Linked DNA regions of Struthio camelus. Each later gene encodes a partner of the first gene's protein in a complex. Links are inferred from orthologs where the notes say so. Each region holds a gene or a part of one and is shown in the gene's direction. Other genes may lie near its edges. The genes, in order: SMARCD1, DPF3, DPF1 and ARID1B.

The links.
Region 2: SMARCD1 (region 1) and DPF3 share a complex: the UniProt entries of both Homo sapiens proteins name them as parts of the BAF complex. The link is inferred for Struthio camelus from reciprocal best matches to the Homo sapiens genes SMARCD1 and DPF3.
Region 3: SMARCD1 (region 1) and DPF1 share a complex: the UniProt entries of both Homo sapiens proteins name them as parts of the neuron-specific chromatin remodeling complex. The link is inferred for Struthio camelus from reciprocal best matches to the Homo sapiens genes SMARCD1 and DPF1.
Region 4: SMARCD1 (region 1) and ARID1B share a complex: the UniProt entries of both Homo sapiens proteins name them as parts of the neuron-specific chromatin remodeling complex. The link is inferred for Struthio camelus from reciprocal best matches to the Homo sapiens genes SMARCD1 and ARID1B.

Annotation. Positions count from the first base shown.
Region 1 is NC_090969.1:1,483,793-1,491,648, reverse strand, and holds the start of SMARCD1 (SWI/SNF-related matrix-associated actin-dependent regulator of chromatin subfamily D member 1), read left to right. Parts: upstream 1-4,856; 5' UTR 4,857-4,871; coding exon 4,872-5,039; intron 5,040-5,198; coding exon 5,199-5,386; intron 5,387-6,243; coding exon 6,244-6,286; intron 6,287-6,393; coding exon 6,394-6,516; intron 6,517-6,825; coding exon 6,826-6,948; intron 6,949-7,091; coding exon 7,092-7,208; intron 7,209-7,537; coding exon 7,538-7,639; intron 7,640-7,736; coding exon 7,737-7,856. UniProt on the Homo sapiens protein: Involved in transcriptional activation and repression of select genes by chromatin remodeling (alteration of DNA-nucleosome topology).
Region 2 is NC_090946.1:43,565,660-43,573,278, forward strand, and holds the start of DPF3 (zinc finger protein DPF3), read left to right. Parts: upstream 1-4,616; 5' UTR 4,617-4,660; coding exon 4,661-4,692; intron 4,693-7,619. UniProt on the Homo sapiens protein: Belongs to the neuron-specific chromatin remodeling complex (nBAF complex).
Region 3 is NC_090957.1:571,236-579,063, reverse strand, and holds the start of DPF1 (zinc finger protein neuro-d4), read left to right. Parts: upstream 1-4,827; 5' UTR 4,828-4,915; coding exon 4,916-4,947; intron 4,948-7,767; exon of another isoform or gene 7,768-7,828. Other genes in the region: NUMBL (numb-like protein), read left to right, coding at 17-316, 484-639, 1,351-1,889. UniProt on the Homo sapiens protein: May have an important role in developing neurons by participating in regulation of cell survival, possibly as a neurospecific transcription factor. Belongs to the neuron-specific chromatin remodeling complex (nBAF complex).
Region 4 is NC_090944.1:78,519,933-78,527,680, reverse strand, and holds the start of ARID1B (AT-rich interactive domain-containing protein 1B), read left to right. Parts: upstream 1-4,742; 5' UTR 4,743-4,878; coding exon 4,879-6,720; intron 6,721-7,748. UniProt on the Homo sapiens protein: Involved in transcriptional activation and repression of select genes by chromatin remodeling (alteration of DNA-nucleosome topology).

The DNA of each region.
Region 1 (7,856 bases):
TCATATCAGTGTAGATACCCATCTAGTAGCTTTTAGGCCTTGTTCTTGTGCCATTTTTTTTCTGTTACTGATCTCTGAATGCCTTCAAGTGTATAAAGTGTTGAATTCTCTCTGGTATCTGTACTATGTACACACATTTTCATAGGAAGCACAATAAGATGACAGATGCATTGTACATCAATACCTGCTACTCTTAACAATGATATAAAGAATGATATAACTCATGAACACTGAGCCTTTCTCTCTCACCGAGCTGCAGGAAACGTTCCCCAAGGAGGCAGGTGGGGACAGCACCATCCCAGGATGCTCCTGAAGGTCTCGCTGAACTCCTGGAGCTGAGGCCAGAAGGAAGGGCTGGGGGAAAGGATAAAGCTGTAGTCTGGACTTGCATGAAGTCTTCAAACGCGTGCTTTGCTGTGCTAATGTGGCAATTGTTCTTGGTACCTAAGCGAGCTCCAGTGTCGCTGCCTGGTCCTGCTCTGCCACGTGAGGACACGTCAGGGCTGGAGGATGGGAACTGATTTTTGCTCCCAAGGGGGGACGAGAATTAACATACGCACAGCTGCTAATCCTTGACAACTCTAACACTTTTGTGGTTTGGGACAGACACCTGAGTTTCAGCAGAAATGAGTCACTGGCTTGGATCTCACCTGCTTTTAATTTAACAGAGTTAGTAGCAGTTGTAGCACAAGCCATATGTAAACACAGTTTCTGTCCTAAAGATTTCCAGCTGCAGAGAGCAAAAGTAACATGCCAGATCCAACACTGTGCATCAGAAAAAGCCCTCAGGACCCCACACAGACTGAATAACAGTGAGTGGGCAGGGAATACTGAAATGCCAAACTCCCTCTGGTCACTTGGCTCTGGTCATGCCCCTGTTGCTCCTGGAAATGGCAGCCGGGTGTTTTGCATTTAAACTAGAACTGACTTACTGCTACTCTGGTCCTTCTCTGCCAGAGCCGGTGCTGCATAGGCTACAGGGTGGGCTTTGAATAGGAACAAGATAATATAGCTAACTGCCAGAAGGGAGTTAATGAACCTAAATTAATTGCAACCAGCCACTGAGTAGCCAGGGCAGCTGACCACGCGTGCTCCCTCCGCAGTGGCATTCACAGCAGCTCCTGTTGCAGGGGGCAGGCAGCAGCCCTGGTGCTGAGGGCTGTAATCTCTTTCGCAGCTCCCCATTAACCCTGCTGGGAGCAGGTCACCCCCTCCATCTGTCACAGCCTCACATTGCGCAGGAACATCCCCAGCCTCAGCACGGCTGGCAGAGCCGTTTCTGCCGCTGCGCTCGAAATGGTGTCTGTGCTGCAAGGCACAGCCTGGACCCAAAGGTGGCACAGCCAAGACAGTTCCCATCCCAGAAGCTGGGCGCGGGAGCACGTTGGGAGTACCGCAGGTAGCCAGACAGCACACAAATGTGAGCAGCCCTGTTACGAAGTGCACAGGTTGTATGTTTCCATATTCAAGGCTCCATTGCGCAAGCGAGCTGTGCACCTTCAGAGCATGCCGGGGCAGTGTCCGCTGGCCAGGGAGCCTTGAGGGGGGCTGTGGTGCACGGATGGGTGCACTGCGTGAGGCTGGCAGCCTGCAAGGTGCGTAGCAAAGGCAGCATGCGTGTTCATCCACGTCTGTCACTCAATATTATTGCACGAGATTCATGCTGCGCGCAAGACAGTTAATTACACGTCGCAGGAAGCATCTCTGATGATCTACGTGAGGATGAGATGTGACACACCTAGGCCTGAGACGCTGGGAAGCACCTGCTTGCACACTGCTGTGTTTACCTCGCAGATCGTGTGGCTGCTGAAACCCTACAGAGCAAGGATTAATCATGCAGGATGCATAAAACCATGGCAGAGATAGCATCACCTCCTTTCCTCCCTGGCAGTAATTCCCGCTTACCACTTGCTCAGTGCTAAAGCTGCCAGCAGAAACAGGCGCTGAGATATAATTACACAGTCCTGGATGCTGCTTGGCTGCCTGGAGCCAGAGCCATACGGGTTGGGGAGGAAGGTTTCAGAGTAGCTGCCTTGCGCCAGCAGGTGCAGTAAAACCAAGGTGCACGGGGTAGCATCACACAAACCATCTCCACTGGGAGGAGTGAACCAACCAAACCCTCAGGGCACAGGCAAGGGGGAAGGTGTTTCTTAGGGGATACAGCTAATAACAGGGGACAGAGAGCTGGGGTTGCTCCCAGCTCAGCTCAAGCAACACCGGGGCTCTCAAGACCCTGCAGCTCCCTGTGCCAAACTGAGCAGCTATCTGACTCCCATTTCCCTCTCTCCACTTCTCAGGTTAGCCCTTGCTTTCTGCTGCTTTCACAGCTCCTCACTCTGTCTCTCCCAGGAGAGCCAGGCAGTTCCAGCCTGCCCAAAAGGCTCCTGCCATCCTGCCAGGCTTTAAGTCTCAGTCAAAGTTGCATCCAAACAATACGGAGCAGATAAGTTCCGCTGCTTTTCCTCCCCATGAATATTTCATAAGGCAGCTGGGCGCCAAGCCTGTCAGAGGTGGCATTAAATTAACTGCATGGACACACGGATGCTGAGACAACAGTTAATAGGCTGTGCTCAAAGCACTGAGGGTAGGAAATACCGTATCTGGCAGAGAAGGTACCAACACATCCCCACTTCTTTGCTCAGTTGACAATGCCATGCACTGTACAGGACATCCTCCTAAATGATCCATGATCATTAATTGTTTAATTAGTGCTTGTGATGTGACTGTTCACCTAGGTTTTTTTCCCCCACAAATTAACGTTGGCTGCATTTATGTCCCTTTTCTCTCTGAGCAACCACAAGGGGAAGCGCTCTAGGGAATAGGGAGCTTAATGCTAATACTTGCAGAAAGTGGCCTTTAAATCTAACATTGTGCTGCCTGTAGCAGCCCAAGCCGCTGCTGAGGGAGATCGGAGCCCTTTACCTGGCTGTTCAGCCTAAACCTGAACAAACAAGGCCCCGGCTACCTGATCAGTGGCAGAACCCACAGTGAAACCTGGTGGTCTATACTCACGAGTCCCCCTCTTTATCCAGTCACCACCGAGGTTCAAACCCTACGTACTGGGAGGAGGTTTCTGCCTCCAGCCTTTGAAAAATCACTTTCAGAAATCCCATTCTGAACATCCTCCAAGTCCCTCCATTAACTCACACTTATCCATATGCAAAGAGTAATTTGGCATGACCTTGTGAGGAGCTATTTCGGATAACTTTGTACCTCTGTGGAGTATTATCACCATCTAGACGAAGTCTTTCAGCTACAACATACTGACGCAGACATATATATTCACACCGATATAAAAGCACATCCATTTATGCCCCCACATGCTTACTTCTTAAGATGTTAAGGACAGCAGCTCCAGTGAGAGGCGTTACCGCCACTTTGGCATCTCAGAGTCCTCCTTTCCGGGGCGCAGGCAAGGCAACCTTCCTCGGGGCACACCCCAGGGCAAGAGAGGCTGCAGGACCAGACCAGCATCTCCTGCAACAGGTAGATATTGTAAGAGCCAACGCTACCGTCAAAAGCCAGCCAAGCACAAGACTCATACCCCAACCCCCTTCAGCCCCAGAGCAGCTCCGGCTCTAGCAGCTCCTGCACAGTAGCCCTGAGGGCTGCAGGGGAAACCAGCCCAGCTGGAAGAGGGCAGAGGAGATCAGAGCAAGGTGTGCTGCCAGCTGAGGCAGGTAGACGAGCTCAGGGGCTGCCAGCCTAAGGGCTTAGGGAGCTGGAAAGTGTCTTACAGGTGGTTTTCTATGGATATCAGAGCCCCTGGCACACAGAGCTGCCTCTCCCACCCCAGACACCCCTCCGTGACAGTACAGATGGTGACAAAGGGGGATGACATACAGCAAACTGTGAGCTGGAGGGACGTAAAGGGAATAAAGAAAATAAAAGAAACATAGATCTCTAGGCCCCCTCCAAGGACACTGCTCCCCATGGCCCCTGCACCCCCTCCACAACGCCCCATGGACACCCCTAGGCCTCTGCACCCCCCATAGCCTCCCAATGGACCCTGCACCCTTCCCCCCACAGCACCCCATGGACCCTGCACCCTGATGGACCCGTCATAGTCCCTGCTCCCTCCTACAGCCCCCTAGACCCTGCACCTCCCACAGCCCCACATGGACACCCCATGGCACCTGCACCTCCCTATGGCCTTCCATGGACCCCCCCATCCCCCACCAACCCTTCCCAGATGCTGCACCCCTCCCCAAAGACCCACACAGCCCTCCCCAATAGCCCCCTCATGGACTCTGCACCCCCAACAGCCCCTCCACTGCCCTCCCATGGCCCCAGCACCCTTCTTCCCAGCCCCTGCATCCCCCCATGGACCCCCCCATGGACTCTGCACCCCTCACAGCCCCCCACTGCCCCCCATGGCCCCAGTACCCTCCTCCCCTGCCCTGCATCCCCCCATGGATTCTGCACCCCCTCACAGCCCCCCACCGCCCCCTCCATGGCCCAAGAACCCTTCTCCCCAGCCCCTGCATCCCCCCATGGACTCTGCACCCCTGAGAGCCCCCCCATGGCCCCAGCACCCTTCTCCCCAGCCCCTGCATCCCCCCATGGTCCCCCCCCATGGCCCCAGCACCCTCCTCCCCAGCCCCTGCATCCCCCCATGGACCCCCCATGGAGTCTGCACCCCTCACAGCCCCCCAACGCCCCCCCGTGGCCCCAGCACCCTTCCCCCCAGCCCCTGCATCCCCCCATGGAGCCCCTATAGACTCCCCCTCCTCCGCCCGGCCCGGCAGCGCGGACCTCCAGGCGGCAGGGGGCGGGCGGCAGCGGGCGGCGACGCTCTAGCTCGACGCCCCGCGCGGGCTCTCTATGGCCGGCGTCCGGTTCCGGCCCGCTCCCCTTTGTGCTGGGAGAAGATGGCGGCGCGGGCGGGCTTCCAGGCGGTGACTCCCAGCGGCGGAGGCGGCGGGGCCGCCGCCGGGGCCGCCGCCCTGGGGCCGGGCACGCCGGGTGGGCCGGTGCGCATGGGCCCGGCTCCGGGACAAGGCCTGTACCGTTCGCCGCTGCCGGGAGCCGCCTACCCGGTGAGGCGGGGGAGGGGCCGGCGGCGGCGGCCGCCGTTATCCGGGGCGGCCCGGGCGGGGCGGGGCGGGGATGGGCCGGGCCGGGCCGGGCCGGGCCGGGCACTGCCCCCACCCCGAGCCGCCCGGCGGGCACTGGAACCGGTCTCTTTCTCTCCGCAGCGCCCCGGGATGCTCCCGGGTAGCCGGTTGACGCCGCAAGGTCCCTCCATGGGGCCGCCGGGCTACGGCGGGAGCCCGGCGGTGCGGCCCGGTATGGCGCAGGCCGGCCTGGACCAGGCCCGCAAGAGGCCGGCGCCGCAGCAGCTCCAGCAGGTGCAGCCGCAAGCCGTGCCCAACCGCAACCACAAGTAAGGAGCGGCACCCCCGGCCACCGGGGCACCCCCGGCCACCGGGACGCCTTCCCTCCCTTAAAGCCCCCCCGCTCCCCCCCGGGGTGCAGGCTTTTGCCGGTGACGCCCCCCTCTTCTGCCGTGCCCCGGGATCTGGGGACATCCCGGTCACGGCTCTGCGGGGGCTGCTCCCGGCAGCACAATGCGTTTCTGTTCTGCGGCGGGTCTGGGGCGCGCTGCCTTCGTGCCGTGCCTGGGCTTTTCACTGCCGCTTTTTGTTGGGCGGCTCAAAGGGACTTGAGCTTCCTTGGGCAGCTACTTGTTGGGGAGAGGGGAGCTTCCAGCCGATAAAAGCGTTAATGTGCAGCTGCTAGACAAGGGCAAGCTTGTTACGTTTCTGGCAGTATAATGGCAGCCTTAGCATCATTGTTAACTCATTTCTTGGTTTAAAGCATGTCAAACTGAAGCTAAATTAGGCTTGAGAGTCACTTTGGCCCGATATTATGTCAGCATGCCCCTTTCAACATGATGTAACCCCACTTCCCGAGCTCTCGGAGGGGACGCGAAGCATTCAGGTAACTGGTTAGTCACGGTGCTGCAGCGTTTGTCAGCTCTGCAGCACTGGCTGCCTCGTGGGGCAGGGGCTGTGGGGAGTAAAGAGCCTGCCTGCGTGTGGGGACTGGAAGCAGTAAGTGCCTCTGAAAATGAGAGGCTGGACTGACGGCTGGCACCCAGGCTAAGAGCACTGCTAATGCTGCAGCACTAAACCAGAGAATAACCCGTCATCCTCACGCCCTTCACGAATGCCTGCAGTTACATAGGACAGAGTGGTTGCCATTTTAATGCATGTGTGTGTGCATCTCCTTCCTTAACAGCGCTAAAAAGAAGAAGATGGCTGACAAAATTCTACCTCAGAGGGTGAGTGGCATGTGCCTTCGCAGCTTCTGTTGAGATGCAGTAGATCGGAGAAGTGTGGGGGAGTTAACGGTGACTTGCATTCTTGATTGGCTTGTGCTCTGCTGTAGATTCGTGAACTTGTACCTGAGTCTCAGGCCTATATGGACTTACTGGCCTTCGAAAGGAAATTGGACCAGACGATCATGCGGAAACGCTTGGATATCCAAGAGGCCTTGAAGCGACCCATTAAGGTAGAGAGGATTATGTTCAATGTTACTGTAAGCAAGGACTGGAGACTCTTACCTTAGTTAAGAGAGCAGGAGTGCACTGAAACTTGGGTCCTGTCGCTGTAAGCACAGTGTATCAGGAACCTTAGTACTCCAGATGCCAACGGAGGAGCAGAGCCAGGAAGGCCTGATGTTCCTCTTTCCTTGCTGCCCGTCCTGGGAGAGGTAGAATATGAAATAGATAAGGATACTGAACCTCTTAGTTTTAGCAAAACATAATATAGTTGATCCTTTATTTCAAAATTAACATTTAGCTGATGCTTTTTCTCTTAGCAAAAGCGAAAGCTACGTATTTTTATCTCCAATACCTTCAACCCAGCCAAGTCAGATGCAGAGGATGGTGAAGGCACAGTTGCCTCCTGGGAGCTTCGGGTAGAAGGAAGGCTGCTGGAAGACGTGAGTGTGAGACACCCAACCCCTTTGGGGAGGGAAAGAGACAAGCATTGATGTCTCCGGTTAAAAGAAGCTAACTGGGGCTCTAGGTCCACCACCGAGTACTGAGATTAGCTCTCCTAACACCCTTCCTGTGTTGCTTGCAGTCTGCTTTGTCCAAATATGATGCCACCAAACAGAAAAGAAAATTCTCATCCTTCTTTAAATCTCTGGTCATTGAACTTGATAAAGACCTGTATGGCCCAGACAATCACCTGGTAGAGGTGAGCTGCTTTTTGCTGCACTATCTCTAAAAGTGGGTTGTTGTTCAGCAGACAGAATTTGCATGTCATTCATGTCTCGAGAGGTAGTGGTGGCTTGAACAAGTGGCTGGGAGCTAGGAGCTGTTGAAGTCTTATCTTAGCTTTTCCATTGACTTGCTGGGGCTCTGAGCAAGTGCATTAACTCTTGCTTCAAACTATATATGGGAATGAGACTAACTCTCTGTAGGTGGGTGGGGGTTACCAGCAAGCATGTTGGGTACCCAGCAGGAGCAAAGGGAACAAAGACTAGGGGTGCCACTGAACGCACTCTCCTGTTCTGTGTCCCCCAGTGGCACAGGACTGCTACAACTCAGGAGACAGATGGTTTCCAGGTGAAGAGGCCGGGAGATGTAAATGTGCGCTGTACTGTCCTCCTGATGCTCGATTACCAGGTAGGCTGTTTGGAACAACATTGCTGGGCCGGTAGTGTTTGCTGAGCCCTGTCTGTCACCGCGTTCCTATCTCGTCTTTCTGTGCTTTTTGTTTCAGCCTCCTCAGTTCAAACTGGATCCCCGCTTGGCTCGTCTCTTGGGGATCCACACTCAGACCCGTCCAGTGATCATCCAGGCATTGTGGCAATATATTAAGACCCACAAGCTCCAGGACCCC
Region 2 (7,619 bases), on another chromosome or scaffold:
CTGATATCTTTCCCTCCTCTTTCAGTGAACCCAACTATTGGTAAAGATCAAAGAAAATGAGGAGGCAGGCTGACGAGAAGCAGTGCATGAGAGATGCCTGCAAAGCTTTAAATAAATAAAAAGGGGTTAAGATTTCGAATCTACTGCATGATATCTGTGGATGTGAGGCCCTGTTTTGCTCTAACCCAAAGATAGGAGAGCTTCTGTCACAGAGCGTGTAGTCATACTTACGCCTTATCTGAATCTGGTCCTTTGAATATTAATATGTTTGAACAAAATACAATTGCATATTACTAGACATATCTGGGGATATTAAAGCTCAAAAAGCATGTGACTTCTGGTAGACTTACAACTATTTATTTTGTATTTTCTTCCATTGCAGAATTAGACAAGTTGCTGGCGTGTCAGTGTGTAGTTTGTTTCACTTTCCAATTCACAAGAGTGGAGTGAAAGTAAAAATCTAATCTTTCCTCCCTCTAGAAAACACAATTGTATGTTAAAAGTTAACAAGACAAAAGGGAAAGCATGAGACTATACATACAGGGTAAAACCCCTTCACAGACAAGGGTCCTCAGTGAAAATAAGGCTTTGCAGGGTGAGCAGCAACGTTTTTCACACCTCACAGAAAATAGCAATGCACTTGCATTATGTAGACCATAACAATGTTTTCAATAGGGGTGGATCAGAAGGGTAGCAGTATGATCCATGACACATGACACTTTCCAATACAATGGAAAGAAACTACATTGTTTTTCTTTTACTTGGGTAGAGACAAACTGCAGATCCGTATATCAGACCTGATATGAGGGTGTGGATTCCACCTTCAAAATCCTTGTTCTCTCTAGCCCCTTAGAGCCTGAATGTTTAGGCTTTGTGTTAATGCCATAGATTTTTATGTAATAGTTTTATGTCAAAATCTACCTTTCCTTTTAAAATTTAAATGTTGCCTGCCCAAACAGTTGGGAACCTTTCATTAAAAGTATGCCCACCTAAATTTCTAGTGCTTAATATTTTAACAGCATTTTTATTTTCCTGTAGCCTCCTTGGTATGCTTCAGCTGGGTCTGAATAAAACTATCAGCAGCTACCTAGGAATGTAAAAATCCAAAGCTCGGAGCTTAGTGTATATGTAACTGGGTGTGTTTCAGATGTGTTCGGCTCATGTGCGATGTAAGTCAACAGTAACAGTATTGATTAGTGACTTAGAGTAGCCTAAAACCAGAATAAAAAGGAACCTAAAAATTTAGTTTATAAATGATCAGTGGTTGATGGAATGGTGTGTATATGAAAATGGAGCCTGCCATGGTGTGGTATAAAAGTTTTATTAGCATAGGTTTTTTGATGCGCCCCTTACTCACAAAGAGTGACTATGTGAATAAGTTATGTAGGTCATCACAAACAAAATGCCACTCAGTGCTCCTTATTTGCATGCCTTTTTTACAGCTAAAACAGTAACCTAAATGTTGTAGAATTCTACATGAAGCACTCTATGTGAAAGTAATATAGATAGATGAGCAAAGCCTCATGCCTTAGTTATCACATGTCAGTCTTCCTGCTGTTCTGCTACGGCAGCTTTGTCCTTAGGCTTCCTAGAGATTCCTCTGAACAAGGTAGTACTACTGACCACTGCTCCTGGCCAGTAATATGGGATCTGACTAGGAGAAAAAGTATCAACCGTCCACCGTCTATGGCTGTTTTCACTATTTGCTGCAGTTGCTGGTGGCTGATAAAGGCCCAATGTCTGAATAGGGAGCAGCAAGGGAGCATGAGCGTGTTTTAATCCCATCTTTGTAATACGCTCCTTGCCAAGCTGCACCAAGAGCTCTTTGCCTGCAGAGCAGAAATGGGCCTATATATCCAAGTGAACAGGACCAGAGGGACTCATTAAACTTCTAAAAATGATCTCAAACAGCTTTTTTCTAATTCTCTAAAAATGTCACCATTTTACACTAGAGTATATCAGGGCTTTCTAGAGCTTGGCTGAATTGTGGCACTGCCTTCTCTCAGTAGCTCAGATCTGCCTCCAGTTCTCACTACGTTCCAGACTATTTTTTCTTTTGTGAGCAGCATAACTGTCATTCCACAAATAAATATTGCCCATTCTAGACCAAATGCTAAAATGTGGTTGATGTTTACCACCAGGTGAATAGCAGGACAATGAGGAAAGTGAAACGAGCAATCCTCATGGTAGTGGGATGTGATATAGGTCTTTAGGCAAAGATAGGCACTTTGTGGTCTAAGTTCATATAAATACAGTTGTCGTTTTCTGAAGGTTCTCAGGGCCACACATACAAATCCTGGAGACTGATTAGTATCAGTGTGGACATGAGGTAGCCAAAAGAGCGTGATAAATTCTTTGCACAAATAGTTAAAGCGGTTTGCTACATGCTTTTTCTCCAGTCTAGTTCTTGCATATGATCATTACTTTTGTGGTACCTGTTCTTTAAATTGTATCTGAACAAATCCCTGGCTATAGCAGTAATTCATACCTGCCACTGTGTAGTGTACTGTGAAGCACTGTTTCCTAATATTTAGACTAGGGGAGAATTTCTGTCAGCAGTCTGGGCTGTGGGATGTAATATTAAGAAATGAGGACATCCAGGGTCACTAGTTCAAGTGCGCACTAACCTGTTCATTTCTTTCTGGTGTGTACATCAACTGTATTTTTACAAAAACTTGGCAGTTTGTGGTTAGCTTTTCCTGTGAACAGTGTGAGAGTACTAAACAGGAGTATCTGTAGTCACATTCAATGTCACTTGGGCTACTACTATATTAAATAACATAATGTAATATGATAATGGAAACATTCTTAAAGATTGCTTCCCAGAACTGTGTTTTGGGATATATCTCAATATCTTGGCAACTCTCCAGCTTACAGAAAGCTTATTTCTGCTAAGCAGTGTTTGTAACCAAATGGCTTAGATTGCTTTGATGGAAGAGATGATTCCCTCCAGGGATATAAACTTGGCACAGCAGTTAGGTTGACCTAACAGCCAGAGTAGGCAATGTGTTGGAAAGATTTAACTTTTCAAAACTTCTGATGTATCCATAATGAATGGGAAACTGATGCATCGCTCTTTTCCCCTCTTCTCTGTCTCTCATCATCTACTTATCTTTCTGTTCTCCATCTCCCTTTTTTTTCTCTTCTGCCTCCTTACTAGAAAGTTTTATTTTGATAAACAAAAGACAGGTTTTGGTATCCTTGGTCTTCCTAAATTCAGCCCTTAGCTAGACAGATTGCTATTTCCAATTCTGTTAACACCTGAATACCCCACAAGCACAGGTACTTCCATTCTTTTATTCAGTAAGTTCTGAATAAACTTGGTTCTTTATTCTTCTTTCTTATACTGTTTTTGCAGCAGTGTGTTTTAACTGTCTTTAGTTGAGTTTCCTCTGATTATATAAATGCAAAGAATGGAGAATCAGGCTTGTGCTTTTTTTTTTTTTTTTTTTTTTTAGGAAGCCTGAAGGGAAGCAAGACCTTTGAGAGAGAGAGAGAGAGAGAGAGAAGTATTACATGACAAAGCTTACAGGTAAGAGGAAAACTTCTTAGTCTGATTCTGCGCTTGTTTATACCAAATTAATGCTGGTATAATTTCATGAACTTCATTGGATTTGCCTCTGAGTTTCAGTGGAATCAGGATTGGTACTTCTTAAATCACTTAGGTTGTGCTACATAATTCATTTGCAAGCTCCTTTAATGAGTTGCAGGTAAGCGCAGACTTCCTGGAGTTCGCTGCTTCCCCAGGAATGGACTCTAACTACACCCTGTCTATTCCAGAAGTCCTGCCTCCGAATTGCTCTTTTACTGTGCAAGTAAACGTCCTATAAAACGTGGATTAAAGCTCTTCCTCCTCCTTTTCTTTCTGCCGAAAGATCGGAGGACCAGGTCTCAACACGCTAAACCAGCCGATCACTTCAGAAGTTGCTTTGTGGGAGAAAGAGAAAACAAGCAGGCAGTGGGTTCGGCCACTGTGCATTATGTAACCAGTGCACTGACTGCAGGAGCTGGATGACTGACATTGAGAAATTCCTGGGGGAGGGGGAGGGGGACGGGGGGGCTGCCCTGGAGTCGCGGCGGGCGCCGGCAGCTCCCAGAAACCTGAAGAGGAGAACGGCTTGAAAGAAAGGGAAACTAACTGGGAATAGCAAGAAAAAGCTTGAGAATCTAATGCGGCAGCAAATGTCAGCACACATGTAATTTGTTTTCCTGCTAAAATGGCATGCATCCAACCTTTGCACGTGAATAAGGGGGCATGCCGTTTGGGAACCGAAAGGCAGCGTCGGCAGTGCAAAAAGACAATGAATGAGCCGAGCTTTCCCTCCCACACTTCTCTCTCCGCTTGATTTCCTTAAAGAAAGAGCCAAATAACTGCAAAAGTGTCGTCCTCCCCCCCACCCTCGTCCTCTTAATCTAATTCGGTGTGGTGACAGCCCCTTGGGTGTGCGCTGCCCCTTTAAGACCTGCTCGCTTCCAGTTCCACAGAAAGGGAGTGACCTCTGGGCTTTGACAGCTCCCCTAATAACTAGCAGAGCCCTGGCTCCGCCTGCGAGACGGGATTGGGCGGCGCGCCGGTATCCCGTCCGCTGATTGGCTGGCCGCTTCCCCTGAGCGAACCTTTAGAACTCCGAGACACAATATTCTGTTACATTGTAGCAAAATGGCGACTGTCATTCACAACCCCCTGAAAGCGTAAGTAGGAATCAAAAATGTACATATTCCGCGTGGTTTAAATATGAAAAAAGGCGCCTTTCCGATGCTTGCTGCCAGCCAGAGCCAGGTGCCTCCAGTCTCCCAGCTGATCTCTCCTCCCGCCCTCCTTTCTTTCGGAGCTACTCTCCTTTTTGTGCAACACACATAAATGTCTTGTGCTGAAATTATCGAGAAAAATGTTACATTTGCGTTCTGCTTAATTGGCTGTCTGGGAGACGGAGAGATGCACGGTCTGGAGGGGAGGATGGCGTTGGGGCTCTTTGCAGCTTTCGGAACCGCGTGAATCTTGGAAACGGCAAGATCCCGAAGGACCGCCGAGGGGGTTGCATGCACTTGACAGAGTCTTGCGCCTGGCGTCCGGGCTCGCTCGTCCCGCTGCCACTCCGGTGTCCGATGGGGGACGGATCGGGCTCGGAAACAGTGCGCTTAATCCTCGGCTTCTCGGCGCTCCGACCGTAATTCGGAGTTTTCTTTCGCAAATCTTTCCAGAGTTGGGCTGACTTAAAGAGGGGGAACGAATCGGCCACATCGCTTCTTAGCTCAGTGGCAAAGGGGTTGCACGGACCGTGTGAAAGCAGGGCAGCAGGGGCATTGCAATTACATTAGATTTGTGTGTGTGTGCGCGCGCGAGGGAGAGCGATAGGAAGAGGGGGAGAGACAGACACGTTAAATGAATGACTCGGGATTACTGGTGGTTAATTTGGGGCAGGAAGTCCGGAGATCTATTTTGCATATGACAGGCTTTCGCTTTTAAAAGTGGCAAAGAGAGTTGATTATGTTTCCATCTTGAGGGTGGGCACACACAGCCAAGGTCTGCACGGACAGAATTTGGCCAACTGTTTGCTGAGGAAATAGAGAGAGTGCGGGTGTAAGGGAGGGGGCAGGTGCTTCTGCTACAGAAATATTCTAGGGTTTCGGATCTCGAATTCAGGCCGATTTAAGAGGAAGAACGCGGGAGCCAGTTGTCTTCTGGATCCCGTCCTTTATTTTCCTTATGGTCTGCAGCACACACCGTTAATCCCTCAAGGCATTAGGGAGAGTGGGATTTGGCACTGTATGTGGGGAGAGGAGCTGCTTTAACCTTTTTAAAACGACTTTTCTGCTAACGGGGGCAGCGCTCTTGCTAATAAAGCAAGAAAGCAGAGTACCTGGCAGTGACGCTTCGTTTGCACTTTCTGGCTGCACTGAGCGGGTGTTTTTATACGTTTGAGTTTTCAGGGATGAAATTAGGGCTGCGACGTTTTTCTCCTTTTCTTTTCTTTTCTTTCGCGCTCTCTCTCTCTCTCTCTCTTTTTCCCCCCTCGACTCAACTCTCTCCGGCTGGAGTTGGAAAAACACTTGACGGTTTTTCCAGGGATTCTTGCCGCTCTCTCTGCAATCTGGAGGGAAGGAAAGCCTCGAGCTGAAAGGGGGTGCTGACAGGTTTATCATTTCTCCTGCTCCATCCTGGAGGAAAACCTTTGCTTTCGTTTACCCAACCTTTCTATAGCGCCTTATAAAAATCTGCGGGAAGAGGGGAGCGCAGCTGTCAGAAGGTTTATCAAAGCAGTCCGTGTATCTTCGGCGGAGAGGGGGATCTGAACATGCTTTGAAAACTGCACGGAGCAGACGACGTGCCACCCATTTGACGGCACGCTTAATACTTCTGCCGCGAGAGCAACTTCTCACCATGTCCTTTCCCCCGCCGTGCGTTGCTCAGACCCAGGGCAGATTACTCCCGCTCATTGCTGGGAACTTAAACTGCACGAAAGCAATATTCGGAGCCATAACGTACAATTTCTCACCTGGGCTGTAAAATGCCACGTACGTTTATGAGACTGTGTAAATATTACAAGCAGTGAGGAAGACCGGGCTTGCCTGCCTTTGGGGGAGGGCGGTGAGATGCTGGGAGCTCCCTGGAAGGAGCGTCGGCGCGGGAGCGGGGCGCAGCCGGGGAGCGCGCCGGGCGCCCGGCCCGGCCCGGCCCGGCCCGGCCCCGCCGGCGGACTTCGCGGCGGTTTGCACTTCTCATCCCTGTGAGCGTCGCTCCGAGCAGCCGCAGTATGCCTCCGGAGAGGAGGGATCCTGACAAACGCGTGCTTGCGCTTAAAGGAATGGGGGGCCTGATCCCGCTGCTGCTAAAGTCGGAGGGAGCAGGATTAGGCCTTTTATAATTAGCTCCCTTTCCCTCCCCTTACCCCTGGAGTGTGAGAGGAGGAAACAATAGACATCAAGTGCTGGGGTCGTTTTTTCTCTACGTGCTTTTTAAAGTACTAATGCTGTGTAGAGGAAGCAGAATTGGTACGGGCTGTCTGACACCATCTGCATTTTTTATTAACAACTTGTTTAATAAAACATTTTATAATTTTCATTTATTCTTTAAAGTTGCTGATCGGGAAACAATACACATGTAAATAAATTATGCATGGGATAAATTAGGACAAAAGCAGTAGGACACATAATAGGGGAAAAGATGCAGTGCACAGTATTTTATCCTCATGTGTCCTTCCTGACAATGAAAGGGAGCTGAATGACATTTGCATTTCCTCTGTCTGCGTTTTGATTATATCTCAAGACCCACAGACGCCCCCTACAGAAACTGGCCACACAAAGGTTTTGCTCTGAGATGGGGGACAATGTAGAGACTGCAAAATCCCAGCTCAGGTATCGTGCTGCTCCCTGTGTGTGCTTGTGCATTTAAGTGTGTCCAATATTCAGCTTCTCTCAGGCACTTGGACACATATGTTGCCTTGTTCATGCTAGACTAGTCCTCCCGGGATAATGTATTCCAGTGTATCTGAGCCTCCGTGGGAATGCATTACATTGAGTAAGCTCAGTCTGTGGAGTCCCTTATTAATGACCAACAACTCCTTACATTCAACTTGCCTCTTTTGCTGCATATCTCTTTTCTCACTAGCTGAATCTCT
Region 3 (7,828 bases), on another chromosome or scaffold:
CCCCCTCTGCCGCCAGCCGAGGCGGCCCCCGCGCCGGCCCCGGCCCCGGCGGAGCCCCCCGCGCCGGCGCAGCCCGGCAGCGCCTCGCCGCCGCCGGCCGCCACGTCTCCGGCGGAGGGGGCGGCGGGGGGGGGCGCGCAGCACGCCATCCCCCGGCGCCACGCGCCCCTCGAGCAGCTCGTGCGCCAGGGCTCCTTCCGCGGCTTCCCGGCCCTCAGCCAGAAAAACTCGCCCTTCAAGCGGCAGCTCTCGCTCCGGCTCAACGAGCTGCCCTCCACCCTCCAGCGCAAGGACAGCTTCCAGGCCCGCGGCGCCGGTGAGGGGCTCGCGGCCGGGGGCGGGGGGGACCCCGCGTTTAGGGGGCGCGTGGCGGCACCCTGGGGTGGGGGGGACAGGGGGACACCCTGGGTATTGCCTCTGGGGGCTGCTGAGGTTTTCGGGGTCCCCCGACGCCTTTTCGTGTCCCGTCTCCCCCCCGCCAAGTGCTGGAGCTGGAGTCGAGCCCCCCCGGCGACAGCGACGGGATCAACGACCTCTGCAGCCAGATCGACGCCTCCTTCGCCTGCCCCCCCGGGGACCCCTTCGGCATCGCGGCCCCCAACGGCGCCGCCACCCCCCCCGCAGAGGGGGGTCTCGCAGGTACCCCCGCCCCAGCCGGCCGGCCGGCCTCCTCCGTCCACGGGGGCACCCGCGTCCCTCTCCTTGCATAGGGGCACCCACTTCCCCCATGCATGGAGGCGCCCGCGTCCCCCCCCATGCATCGGGACACCCGCATCCCCCCCCTTGCATGGGGGCATCCCAATCCCCCCGTGCATCGGGGCCCCCGCATCCCCCCTCCTTGCATGGGGACATCCCAATCCCCCCGTGCATCGGGGCCCCCGCATCCCCCCCCTTGCATGGGGGCATCCCAATCCCCCCGTGCATCGGGGCCCCCGCATCCCCCCTCTTGCATGGGGGCATCCCAATCCCCCCGTGCATCGGGGCCCCCGCATCCCCCCTCTTGCATGGGGACATCCCAATCCCCCCATGCATCGGGGCCCCCGCATCCCCCCCCTTGCATGGGGGTGCCTGCGTCCCTCGCCGGGAATAGGGGCACCCATGAACCGCTGTGCGTGGCGGCACCCCCATCCCCCCCTGGCAAAGGGGCACCTAGATCCCTCTCCTAGGCTAGGGGCACCTGCATCCCCCAAACGTGGGGGGTGCCCACATCTCCCCCAGCAGCCCCCCCAGCAGCCCCCCCAGCAGCCCCCGCCAGCAGAGCCCCATGCCAACCCCCCGCGGTGTCGTGCATCGCGCGACTCGCAGCCCCCCCCACCTCATGCCCTTCATCCCTCCTCCTCCTCCCTGCAGGCCCCATGTCCTGGGCTGAGGGGGCGGCCGCGGGGGCCCCCCCCTTCCAGCCGGGCCACCGCCGCACCCCCTCGGAGGCCGAGCGGTGGCTCGAGGAGGTCTCCAAGACGGCCAAGGCGCAGCAGCAGCAGCAGCAGCAAGCGGGTGCCGTGCCCCCCGCCGTGCCCCCCTACCCCCTGGGCTACGAGGCAGCCCCCGCCACAGCCCCCCCCGGCGTCTTCCTCCCGGCCTTCGTCCCCGTGGGCACCTACCCGCCGGCGCTGCCCTTCGCGGCCCCGGCCGTGCCGGTGGTGGGCATCACCCCCTCGCAGATGGTGGCCAACGCCTTCTGCGCCGCGGCCCCCCTGCCCGCCGCCGAGCTGGCCGCCAAGGCCAGCCCCTTCGCCCCGGGGCTGCCGGGGGCCCGGCCCCCGCCCGCCGCCCCCCGCGCCCCCCCGGACCCCTTCGAGGTGCAGTGGGCGGCCCTGGAGTCCAAGCCCCCCCCAGCCCCCAACCCCTTCGCCGACGACGTGCAGAAAACCTTCGAGATCGAGCTGTGAGCGCGGGCCGGGGGGCCGGGGGGCTCCTCGCTGCCAGGTTGGGGGGTCCCGGTGCCCCCCCTCCCTGAGGCTATGGGTCCCCAGTGCCCTCCAGCAAGGCTGGGGAGGTCCCAGTGACCCCCAGCAGGGACCAGGGAGTTCCCCAGGGGTCCCCAGTGCCCTCCAGTGAGGTCGGGGAGGGTCCCAGTGCCACCCCTCCCTGAGGCTATGGGTCCCCAGTGCCCCCAGCAGGGACCAGGGGGTTCCCCAGGGGTCCCCAGTGCCCTCCAGCGAGGTCGGGGGGGTCCCAGTGCCCCCCAGCAGGGACCAGGGGGTTCCCCAGGGGTCCCCAGTGCCCTCCAGCGAGGTCAGGGGGGGTCCCAGTGCCCCCCAGCAGGGACCAGGGGGTTCCCCAGGGGTCCCCAATGCCCTCCAGCAAGGTAGGGGGGGTCCCGGGGTCTCCAGTGCCCTCTAGTGAGGCCGAGGGGGGTCCCGGTGCCCCCCAGCAGGGCCCAGGGTGGGCTGTGGGGTTCGGAGGGGGATGGAGGGAGGCAGGACCAGGCTTGGGGGGGATCTGGGCCCCCCCATGGCCCCCCTTCGGCTGCCCTCAGCCCCGGGGACACAAGGGACCAAGGAGAGCCGCAGAGCGGGGGGCACCCCTGCGGTGGGGGGGCCCCGCTCACCTCTCCAAATCCTCTTGCTTTTTTTTTTTTTTTTTTTTTAACTTAAGCAGATTTTTGTATTTTCCTCTAATTTAATATAATATATATATAAATATATTCCCCTTTTAGTTCGAGGGGCCACTATAGCTGGTGGGGGGTGACCCTGCGCTCTCCGCCCCCCCCCCCTCGCGTCGGTCAGAGCCAGCAGCGCTGCTTTTACTGCCAATTTTTGCCCCAAGTGGGCATTCTCCCCCCGCGGTGCCACCGCAGCCCCTGCCCCACACATGGGCCTGGGGGGAGCCAGCGTGGGGCGGCTGGCCCCCGCCCCAGGCCACGGCGCCCTCGTGCAAGGTGCACCAGGGTGCCGGGGTGGGGCGGGCAGGGGCCCTGGGGCGCAGCGTGCAAGGGGTCCAGGTGCGTGAAGCCCCCGTGCGAGGCGTGCGGGGGGGGCTCTGGTGTGATGTGTGCGAGGCAGGGGAGGGCCAGGGCACAGGGTGTGCAAGGCGGGTGCAGGCCCTCGTGCAATGCACGTGGGGCCCTCGTGCAAGGTGCACAGGGCTCTTGTGCAAGGCGTGCACGGGGCCCTGGTGCAAGGTGCGGGGGGGGCCCCGGTGCACGGCGCCGTCCCGCCCCCGCGTCTCCGCGCCCGCCGTTACCTCAGCTCCGATTGTACCCGCGGCGGGAGGGGGCCGCGGGATTTTCTATCTTTATTTCCAGATTTTTTGTATCTCAGAAACGACAGTACTAAGAATAAAGGCTCCTCCGCTTCGTACCCGGGGCCGGGGCGCGCTGCGGGCCGCGGCTGCGCGCCGGGCCGTGCACACGCGCGGGCACACGCACACACACATGCATGCACATACATACATATATATATATATATTTATCGCCTTATCTTGCATAAGGAACTGGATCACTCGCAGTTGCCGTGGCAACCTGCAGGGATCCCTGCCAGTGCTTAAAGGGGCCGCGGCTGCGGGGAGGGGGCAGAGCCGAGCCCCCCCCCCGGCCTTGTCCTGCCTCAGTTTCCCCACGTGCGATGGAGTCCAGAGGGGGGTCGGGGGGCTGGGGGGGCTTGGCCCTGCTGCGCCACCTTCCCCCACCCAGCACCCTGTTTGCTGTGGGGTCTGGGCAGGGTCCCAGCGGGGGTCCTGGTGGGGTCTATGGGTGCCATTGGGGATCCTGGTTGGGTTCTGTGTGTCCAGGCAGGGTCCCAGCTGGGTCTGTGGGTCCCGGTGGGTCCCCAGCCAGGGTCTATGGGTCCAGACAGGGTCCCATTGGGTTCCTGGCCGGCTCTCTGGCTCTGGACAGGGTCCCACCAGATTCCCAGTCGGGGTCTCTGAGCCTGGGCAGGGTCCCGTCCAAGTCCCATCGGGGTCTATGGGTCCCATTGGGTTCCTGGCCGGTGTCTATGGGTGCGGGCAGGGGTCCCATTGGGGTCTCTGAGTCCAGATGGGGTTCCAACGGGGGTCCCATTGGGGTCTATGGGTGCGAACAGGGTCCTGTCAGGGTCCCGGCCGGGTCTGTGGGTCCCATCGGAGTGTCTGGGTCCAGACAGGGTCCCAATGGGGTCCCAGCTGGGTCTATGGGTGCAGGCAGGGTCCCATCGGGTTCCTGGCTGGGGTCTATGGGTCCCGTTACGGGTCCCAGCCAGGTCTATGGGTGCGGGCAGGGTCCCATTGGGGGTCCCAGCTGGGGTCTCTGGGTGCAGGCAGGGTCCCATCAGGGTCCCAGCCAGGTCTGTGGGTCCCATCGGGGTCCCGTCGGGGTCTCTGGGTCGGGTGCACAGGGTGCCCAGGGTGCTGGGTGGGTTGGAGGGTCCCATCGGGGGTCCCAGCCTGGGTCTCTGGGTGCAGACAGGGTCCCGCCGGGGTCCCAGCCAGGTCGGGGGTCCCGTCGGGGTCCCGTCGGGGTCTCTGGGTGCAGGCAGGGTCCCGCCGGGGTCCCAGCCAGGTCGGGGGTCCCATCGGGGTCCCGCCGGGGTCTCTGGGTGCAGGCAGGGTCCCGCCGGGGTCCCAGCCAGGTCGGGGGTCCCATCGGGGTCCCGCCGGGGTCTCTGGGTGCAGGCAGGGTCCCGTCGGGGTCCGGCCAGGGTCTTTGGGTGCAGACAGGGTCCCGTCGGGGTCCCGTCGGGGTCTCTGGGTGCAGGCAGGGTCCCGCCGGGGTCTCTGGGTCGGGTGCACAGGGTGCCCGGGGTGCCGGGCGCGGCGGCGGCGGCGGCGGCGGGGGGGGGGGGCGGGGGGCGGGGGGCGCCGGGACTACATTTCCCAGGCTGCCGGGGCGCGCGGGGCGGGCTGGGGGCCGCCCGCACCGGCCCCGGCCCCGGCCCCGGCCCCGGAGGATGAACGAGGCGCCGGGGCGCTGCTCGGCCCCAGCCGCGCCGGGGGCATGGCCACGGCCGTCCACAACCCGCTGAAATCGTGAGTGCGGCGCCGCGGCCGCGGCCGGGGCCGGGGGGGCCGGGGGGGGCCCGGGGCGCACGGGCTGGCCGCGGTGCACAGCGGTGCGCAGCGAGCCGGGGAGTGGGGGTCCGCGGTGCACGGGGATGCACAGGGTGTCGGGGGTGTCCGGGGTGCACAAGGATGTCCGGGGTGCACAGGGATGTGCAACGAGCCGGGGGTGCACGGGGTGCACGGGGATGCGCAGCGAGCTGGTGGTGTCCGGGGTGCACAGGGATGTGCAACGAGCCGGGGGTGCACGGGGTGCACGGGATGTCCGGGGTGCACAGGGATGCACAGGGTGTCTGGGGTGTCTGGGGTGCACAGGGATGTGCAGCGGGCCAGGGGTGTCCGGGGTGCACAGGGATGCACGGGGTGTCTGGGGTGTCTGGGGTGCACGGGGATGCGCAGCGAGCTGGTGGTGTCCGGGGTGCATGGGATGTCCGGGGTGCACAGGGATGCACAGGGTGTCTGGGATGTCTGGGGTGCACAGGGATGTGCAGCGAGCCAGGGGTGTCCGGGGTGCACAGGGATGCACGGGGTGTCTGGGGTGTCTGGGGTGCACAGGGATGTGCAGCGGGCCAGGGGTGTCCGGGGTGCACAGGGATGCACGGGGTGTCTGGGGTGTCTGGGGTGCACAGGGATGCGCAGCGAGCTGGTGGTGTCCGGGGTGCACGGGGATGCGCAGCGAGTTGGGGGTGTCCGGGGTGCATGGGATGTCTGGGGTGCAAGGGAAGAACGGGATGTCTGGGTGTCTGGGGTGCACAGGGATGTGCAGCGAGTTAGGGGTGTCTGGAGTGCACGGGGGTGCACGAGGTGTCTGGGGGAGCATGGGGATACACACTGACCCGGGGGTGTTTGGGGTGTCTGGGGTGCACAGTGCTGCACAGCGAGCCTGGGGTGTTTGGGGTGTATGAGGTGTCTGGGGTGCACAGTGAGCCTCGGCTGTCCAAGGTGCACAGGCTATCTGGGATGCACAAGGATGCTCAGCAAGCCTGGGGTGTCTGGGGTGTGGGCACAGCGAGCCTGGGGTGTTCGGGGTACGTTAGGTGTCTAGGGGGTGTACAGGGTGCCCAGCGTGTCTGGGGGTGCATGGGGTGTCTGGAGTGCACAGCGTGCCTGGGATGCACAAGGTGTCTGGGGATGCCCAGGGTGTCTGGGGGTGCACAGCGAGGCTGGGTGTTTGGGGTGCCCAGCGTGTCTGGGGGTGCACAGGGTGTCTGGGGGTGTCCAGGATGCCCAGGGTGTCCGGGAGTGCACAGCGCATCTGGGGATGCACAGCGAGGCTGGGTGTTTGGGGTGCTCAGGGTGTCTGGGGGTGCACAGCGCATCTGGGTGTCCAGGATGCCCAGGGTGTCCGGGGGTGCTCAGCGCGTCTGGGGGTGCACAGTGAGTCTGGTGTCCGGGGCGCGTGTCAAGCCCAGGGCGTGCGGGCTGGGGGCAGAGATGTGAGGCGCGTGTCCGTGCGTCTGCGGGGCTGTGCACCAGCCGGGTGTGCGCATGCGTGTGCAGGTGTTGTGTGCGGGTAACCTGTTGGAAAGACACACACGTGCATTGCGCGTCAGCGTGTGCTTGTGGGTAAGGCTGCATGCGGTGACCTGTTGGGGTGTGTGCACACACGAGGGCACAGGTGGATGATGTGTCAGGGTGTGTGCACACGGGAGCGGCCTGTGCACAGGGTGCATGTGCACCCGTGAGGCCACACGTGCAAGGCCCATCGAGGCGCGTGCGCGTGTGTGTGTGCGCGTGTGTGTGTGTGTGTGCGCGCGTGTGTGTGTGCGCGTGTGTGCGTGCGCACATGCAAGGTGGCGTGTGCACAGCCTGTTGAGGCATGCACACACCCGCGGTGCAGCGTGTGCACAGCCCGTCAAGGTGTGCGCACACCCGCGAGGCCGTGTATGCATGACACATCGAGGTGTGCGTACACCTGTGATGCAGCGTGTGCACAGCCCGTCAAGGTGTGCGCACACCCGCGAGGCCGTGTGTGCATGACACATCGAGGTGTGCGTACACCTGTGATGCAGCGTGTGCACAGCCCGTCAAGGTGTGCGCACACCCGCGAGGCCGTGTGTGCATGGCATATTGAGGTGTGCACACACCTGTGATGCAGCGTGTGCACAGCCCGTCAAGGTGTGCGCACACCCGCGAGGCCGTGTGTGCATGACACATCGAGGTGTGCGCACACCTGTGATGCAGCGTGTGCACAGCCCGTCAAGGTGTGCGCACACCCGCGAGGCCGTGTGTGCACACCCGCCGGGTCCGCCTGCGGGTGGCCTGTCGGGCGCGTGTGCAAGGCGTGTGCGAGCCGTGTGCGGGGTCCCGCTCGGGCTGCTGCTGGGGGTGGCCGGGAGGGGACGCGCGGGGGGACGCTGAGGGGGGATGAAGCCGGCGGGGGGGGGATCCCGCCGGAAGGGGGCGGGGTCAGCATCCCTGGCAGCCCCGGACGCCTGGGTCCCCTGCACCCGGGGGGGGGGGCGGGACCCGGTTTGGGTGCAGCCCTGCGGGGAAGGGGAGGGACCCACGACCCCCAACAGCAGCCCCCCCCCTCCACCAACATCTTGCCCCGCCCCCGCCGTGACTGGCAGCCCCCTCAGCCAATGGGGGCCGGCGGGGGGCGGGCCGTGGGGTGCGGCATGCCGGGATATGTAGTCCCATGCGCCCCCCCCCCCCCGCCGCCCTCCCGGTGCCGGCGGGGACCCGGGGGGGGGGGCGCGGGGTGGCGGCGGGGTGGGGGGGCGCTGCGGGACCCTGCCCGGCGGGCGGGCGGGGGGGGCCGGGCGGGGAGGGGGCAGCGGGGGGAGCGGGGGGGAAACGGGGGCTGAACCCCGCCGCCCCCTCCCCGTGCCCGAGCGGCGGAGCGGCC
Region 4 (7,748 bases), on another chromosome or scaffold:
TGATTACTGTCGCACTAAATCTCATTTAATTTTCCTAATTTATAAATAATGACGATAAATTATTAGTTTAAAGGAAAGCTGGCCTTTCCTTAAGTTTCTCCAAAATATAATGCTGCTCCCAAACAATGATATAGGATCCTGAATTATTAGGCTAAAATTCAGTTTAAAGGTTCAGATTTCATCAGTGGGTAGACCTGGAATCAACAACACCTACTATTACTGCCAAGTGGAAGATTTTGTTTTGATTTACAAAATGGGTTGAGCTGATATCTCACCAAGGACAGACTTAAGAGCTGTTTTTCCTAGAGGCCTCAGTCCACAGAAGCACTTAATCAGGTCTTAACTTTAAGCAAGTGAGTGATCTTATTGACTTCAGTGGATGATTCGCATTTGTAAAACTGAGGTATTCAAACATTGTATTCAAATGGCCTAAAACCAGCAAGGAAAAAAATTGCTAATGTTACAATTCCATGATAAAATAATACATGACATTCTTGAGATGGAGATGGTGATGTTTCTAAGTCCTTTTGTTTACACATTGCCAGAAGAAATTGATTACATTGCCCAGAATTAGTGTCTGCTAAAGAATAGATTTTAATTACCTGGTAGAACGTGTCACTCTCTACACGTTTTAGGCCACAGTCTGTTGGCGTACACTGTATTTTTTCATTGTCTATTATGACCAGCTAAAATAAAATTATCGCACTTACATATAGCCTTTACACCTAACTTAACAGGTAGGTATCCACTGTAATAGCTTACATATTACATTCATGTCTGAAATATAAAATAAATAACATACGATGAAGAAAATATTACTTTGCTATATATTGACCACATAAGGGTCTTCTTAAAAGGAAAATCGCATTACTATAGCACCAAATACCAAGCTAAAGCATAAAGCTAAAGCACTGACCTGGCTACATACTTTTCTGTGATCTGATTTATGCCTCCTTATTGGAATCAATTAAAAGATTTGCACTGACTTCAGAATGATTTGGATTGGATGTTTAACTAGTAAAAGACGTGATAATTTAATAAAATCTCAATTCTCTCTTTTTTTTCTCATTAAACCTAATGCCAATCTGAAAGAAGGAAATTGAGAATGATGGTGAATTTGACAACTGTTTCATCTAACTGCACAGTGAATTTAAGCATACAGCACAACCAGAACCAGACAAAAGGGATTTTTGCATGAAGGAATTTTTCTGACCTTTGTGGGTATTAGGTCAGATGCAACAGGGTCTTGATGCTCTGACTGGATTCTTACCTCACAGAAAAAAAAAAATCAAAAAGCACAATATTGCTGTTTATTCCGATATCTCTAAAGGTAATAACGCCTCCATGCTGTTAAAATATTGTTTTATTTTCTGTATATCTCTTTACCGTTACTCTTTATATGATCTAAAAGCCACTGTTCTGACCAAACAGAAAGATGTTTGCCTTACTGCTGTGAAACGCATCTAACTTCCATACTGGCAAGCTATGCACAGACAGCTTAGGGTGTCTGTATAAATGTCATAGTCAATGTAATAAGTAAACAACAGTAAGTTTAGACAATTATATTGTTTATCCTGGAAAGTTATCCCAGAACACAGGAGTTTATAATTTATCAGGAAAAAATCAAGAAAAAGAAACCATGCTTAGACAATATTGCATTATAGAAAACAATTAAATTGAAGAAACACTGAAAATTGAACTAAAGTTGAAACTACGCACTTGCGATATTAAATATCAATGCAATCATTTTGCAGCAGATTATATGCATGACAATTAGAGCTTTTTTTACATTCTATTACAATAAATTCATAATTCATACATATAATGAGAGCTTTTGGAAGGGAGAATTTGAATTTAACAAACACTACCACTCATCATCTGAGCAAAGATGGCAAAGGGAATTTCAACATTATTTGTGATCTAAAAAATTGAACCATCGTTGCTTTGTGTTGTGCTTCCCTTGCACAGACTGCAGTGCCTTCTGTCTGCTTTAGGGTGTGGCATCTGCCATTGGGGAGGAAAAACTGGCATGTGTTGCCTTTTATAGCAGACTGATTTCATTGTGCTGAGGGCCTCAATTTTATAGCCTCTTAGATCCAATCTCGTAGCCAGCCTCGTTGCTGAAACAAATGGAAGGAAAAGGAGTTAGTAGCATAAACTCTTCAGTTTCTAAGCTTCATCTTTTTTTTTTTTTCTTTCCCAGGAAAAACGTCTTGAAGTAAATCTGCGTTAAAACTTTGTGGCTTATTTTCCTGTTCAGAAAGAGTTGTGGACTATGTCAGGAAGTACTGCAGTCCTCAACGGAGGCACGGTCAATACATTTATCAGATTTTAAATATAAATATTTTTGCTTGGATATAAATGTCGCAAAGTATAAATGTGTAATTGATTTTTTATTTTATTTTAGAGTACACATGTAAATAAATACACACAAGTAGACATCTATATTTATATTTGCATATGAAAGACTTCAAAAAATCAACTTATGTGGTTTAATGTGTATAATTAGTGTGCGTTTGAATATAGAAAAGAAGAAAATCCAGGAGAAAATGTCAAAAAGGCTCACTAACAAAGATGTAGTATTCTCTTGGCAAAAGCTGATGAATGATTTGGCATGAATTCATCTTACAGTTCTGTTATTCTCTCTCCTACAAAGATGATATACCCCTTTCTAGCAGTTTGCATAGAATTGCAATTTGTTGTTGTTACAGACTGTAATGACCCTTGGGTATGCACCTGATTCTCCCCACTAGAATTACTCACCGTTTTTTTTCCCACTCTGTTTCTACTAGCCATATAACATTTTCGCACTTGCACAGAGTACCAAAAGAGAAAACGAAGAAAAATATGATTGTAATAGAAGTATTATCAAGATGTACTTGATGAACACTGAGACTTTAAAAAACTAACTCCCTAATGGAAATCAGAACATAGCTGACTTTTTCAGACAGAGCTAAAATGAATAGACACTGGAATCACACTGTTTGCACATTTATCAATAATCTTTGCATGTAATTCAACATTAGAGCATGAAGCTTCTGCTCTTTAATGTTTTCACAGTGGATATAAAAAAGGCCTACCTACTTGTGACAGCATCTTTCTTGGTATACTGTATTTTTCTCTATCATTCCTATTGAATTTCCTATTTATCTATTTTGAAATTTGAAAGCACGGTCATCTCTAACAGAGCACATAGAACAATTCATTTAAAACAGCGTATTTCAGACCCTTGCTATATTGAAAACATTCATTAACGTCCCAGTTTGCTATGTTTGTGCAGAATATTTGATTTTCCCACTGCTTTTCTTAGTTGAATGTAGTGTATGACTACTATCTTTTCTAATGCTAAGTTATTATTAAGATAGTTATAGAAACCCCTCCAACACATTCTGAAAGAGTGTACAAAAATGTAGGTCAGCAGCAACAGTTTAGCATTTGGAGCAAAAGTTACTTTGATTACATATTTTGTATTACTAGGTTTTCATGAGTGCTTTGTGCATACTAGAAATTATATTGTTTGGGGAAACAGTTATGAGGCTCAAAACGTCTCACTCCCCTTGACCAGCTCCTGTTGATCCGCAAATAAGCACACAGAACATACTGAAAAGAGCCCTATGTATAAAAGCATCATCAGTGCAATGACCATTAGAGTCTGGAGGCAGCTGGGCAACGTGGCCAACTGCAAAGATGCTACTGCCGCAGAATTTTGGGTTACATTTTATAACCCTTTGCAAAAAAAACAGAAATCTTCCCGGGGGGGGGGGAGGGGGGAGAAAAAAAGCATCCTATTTTTCCATGAAACGGATGACAGGATTTCCCTGTCATCCGCGTAAAATGAAAATGCGTTTGCGCGGCACATCCCGGACTCAAGGGCAGAGGACTAGAGCCTTTCAAAGTTTGACCCATTTATTTCTATGTATTTAGCGCAGCCAATCTGGGCACCGGCAACGTGCGGGCTGCCCCCGTCTACCCGGCCCGGCCGGGCCCGACCGCTGAGCGCCCGCGGGCAGCCCCGCCGGGCCGGGCCGGGCCGGGCCGGGCGCCTCAGCGCGGCCGCCTCGGGCCGGAGCCGCCGTTGGGGCGAGGCCTCGGCCGACATGAGTCCCGCATGGGGTTGCCTCCTCCGCGGAACTTGATCCCAGAGCCGGCGCCCGGCTCCAGCCCTGGGTGCGCACAGAAAATGACGAAAATAAATAATAATAATAATGAAAAAAAAACCCCACCAAAATCTAAGCAGGGGCGCGAAGGGGGCCGCGCCCCCCACTCCTACCGGCCGCCCGGCCCCGCGCGCCCGCCCGCGCGTGCCGGCACCGGGGCCGCGGCGGGCAGCGGCAGCGGCAGCGGCAGCGGGAGCCGGCGCCGCGCCGAGTCCAGTCCGCGTTTTGCGAGTGCGCGGGAGCGCTCGGCGCGGAGGGGGCGATGGCTGCTGGGGCTCGCTCGCTCGCTCGCTCGCTCATGCCATGCTGGGCCAGATAGGCTCAGTCAGACGTGTATTTACCCATATCCGGGTTAGGGAGGAAAAGAAAAAAAAAAAAAGTTTCATTTAAACCTGAACAAAAAAACTTTCAACATGAAATCACACAGCAGGAACAGGCACAGACCGTAAGGCATTCTTACCATTTCTAATCTCAATCACGGACTCGGGGAGGGAAATTTCTGTAATTTTTGTGCGTGTGGAGTGATCCGCAGGGGATACTGTTGGCTCAGTTACGTCTCTTTCCCCCAGCCGTTTCTCTTTTTGCCCCTCTCCTCTCCTTTCCCTCCCCCCGACTGGCCCCCCTCCCCCCTTTTTTTTGGAGGGTAAGGGGTTTTGTTTTGTTTTGTTTTTTTGTTTTTAATTCTTACTACTAATAATTTCTCCGGACTTGCAATGTTGCAATGATCATGGCCGCGCAAGTCGCAGCGGCTCCGGCGGGTGCGAACAACAGCAAGGGCAAAGCCCCGAGCCTGCCGGGCAGCCTGGGCCCGGAGCGGGGCCCGGGGGGGGCCGGGGCCGCCGCCGCCGCCGCCGCCGCCGCCGCCGCGGGGGCTCCCGGGCCCGGCCCCATGCTGGGGGTCGGAGACGGGACTCCCACCGGCGGCAGCAGCCTGAATAATGTAGATCACCATCTCCTCCAGCACCACAGCGAGCCGCTGAACATGGCCAATAACGCAACTTCTGCCGCTGCCACCGGTAACAACAGCGGCGGCGGCGGCGGCGGCGGCTCCTCCTCGGAGCCGGCTCTGAAGGAAGGTGGAAGCTCCTCGGCGTTATCTTCTTCTTCTTCTTCCTCCTCCTCCTCCTCCTCCTCCAACCCGGGCCCGGCCATGGAGACGGGGCTGCTCCCCAACCACAAACTGAAAAGCGTCGGAGGCGATCACCCCGCCGCGCCGCCCCACCACCACCACCACCATGCCCACCACCCGCATCACCATGCCCACCACCACCACCACCACCACCACCATGCCCACCACCCGCACCACCACCACCATGCACTACAGCAGCAGCTAAATCAATTCCAGCCGCCGCCGCCGCCGCAGCAGCCGCCGCCTCAGCACCATCCCATGCAGAATAACAACAGCAGCCTCGGCGGCGGCGGCGGCGGCGGCAGCGGCAGCAACAACAACGGCGGTGGCGGTGGCGGCGCTGCTCAGCCCAGTGCAGACATGGAGCAGCAGCAACATGGAGGAAAAGACAGTGTTTTGGGCACTCAGGCCGAGCCCCCGCAGCAGCCGCAGCAAATGCTGAATAAAAGCGCCGACGAGGAGGAGATGCCCGGCAAAATGGGCGAGCCCATCGGCGGCCGCTACGAGCACCCCGGCTTGGGACCCCTGGGCGGACAGCAGCAGCCCCAGCAGCCGCCCCAGAGCGCTGGGAGCGGCGGCGGCGGCGGCGGCCTCGGCGGCGGCGGGAGCGGGGGCGGCGGCGGCGGCGGCGGCGGCGGCCCCTCCGCGGTGGGTGTCGCGGAGTTCAACAGCTATTATGGCAACGCTGCCCCCGCCGCTGCCGGCAGCGCCACGGCGAGCCGCGCCGGGCCTTGCTTTGATCAACATGGCGGACAACAAAGCCCCGGGATGGGGATAATGCACCCCACGGCGGCCCCCAACAGCATGGACCCCCTGCAAAACTCCCACGAAGGTTACCCCAACAGCCAGTACAACCACTACCCGGGCTACAGCCGGGGCCCCGGCGGCGGCGGCGGCGGCGGCGCGGGAGCCGTGGCGGCGGCAGCGGCGGCGGCGGCGGCTGCCGGGGCAGGCGGCGGCGGCTACGGGGGCTCCTCGGCGGGCTACGGGGTGCTGAGCTCGCCGCGGCAGCCGGGCGGCGGCATGATGATGGGCCCCGGCGGCGGCGGCGGCGGCGGCCTCGGCAAGGCGGCTGCCGGCGCGGCGGCGGCGGCGGCGGCCGGCGGCTTCCAGCGATTTTCCGGGCAGAACCAGCACCCGTCCGGGGCCACCCCTACCTTGAACCAGCTGCTCACCTCCCCCAGCCCCATGATGCGGAGCTACGGCAGCAGCTACCCCGACTACAGCAGCCCCAGCGCCCCGCCGCCGCCGCAGCCCCAGCCGCAGGCAGCGGCAGCCGCCCCGGGCAGCCAGCAGGCAGCGGCGGGCATGGGCATGGGCAAAGACATGGGCTCCCAGTACGGAGCCGCAAACCCGGCCTGGGCAGCGGCGCAACAAAGAAACCACCCGGCTATGAGCCCTGGAAACACCGGGCAGACCATCAGCAGGACCCAGGTAACCCCCCGCGCGGGACCCGGGACGGCTCCCGCCTCCGCGCGGCTCCTGCCCGCCGCTTAGTTGCTGTACAATTCACTTTTCTTGCTTTCTTTACTCTTTCCTCCTTCCTCCCCCCCCCCACCTTTCCTTATCTTTCTTTCTTTTTTTTTTTTCTTTTTCCCCCCTCTGGGCCAATTCAGCTACTCGCTGCCTCCGTAGCCGGGGCGAGCGGCGCACAATACGCGGCCCCAATTAGGCTGGAGGCATCGGAGTGCTGGTTTCACTGCCGAAAATTAGGTTGTTCTGAAACCCAATTAACAATTTTCCCTCCACTTTGAAATAGCGATGCAGAGGCGCAGGGCCCAGAGGAAAAGCAGCTTGGGACGAAGAGGGATTTGGTAACTAGAGTGTCAGACCCAGTGGGTTCTTGGAGAATAATATTCATTATCTTACAGCAGGGCCTTTTTTTTTTTTTTTTTGGAAACAGGATGAGTTGCTGTGGAGCATGCTTTTAGCAAATTAGTTTGTCACTGATGGAGTTACCGCAGTGAAATCCGCTGAAAACAGCCGGGTTCCTTTTTCTGTTGGAAGAGTGTGTATGTGCGTGTGTGTGTGCGTGCGTGTGTGCCCTGTGTGTATGTATATGCGCCGTAGTCGTAAGGGCTCGTGCGATACGCATCGAGGTGCGTGAAGTGCTCTGTTCTCGTGCGTTAGTCCAGCAGCCTTTACAAGAGTGGCACGGCGCTGAGGAGCGTGCCCGAAGTGAATACGTGCACGAATAACTGTGTTTTTTCTCCCCAACACGCACGCGAAAATCCGTAGGCGGTGGGAAGACCGCAGAGGTCCTTCGCGCGGAGCAAACGGGCGCGGGGCGCTGCGAGAGATCGCAGCGTGGCCCTGACGGACGTGCCGCATCCCCGACGAGCTCGGCCCGATAAGTCCCTAAATCGGTAGGGAGCGAGGCGGTGCCGGTGGAGTCGCGCCGCTGTAGGTCGCCGCTCTGCCGGCGCCCGGGCCGCGGGGCGCGGCGGCGAGGTGGTGCCCGC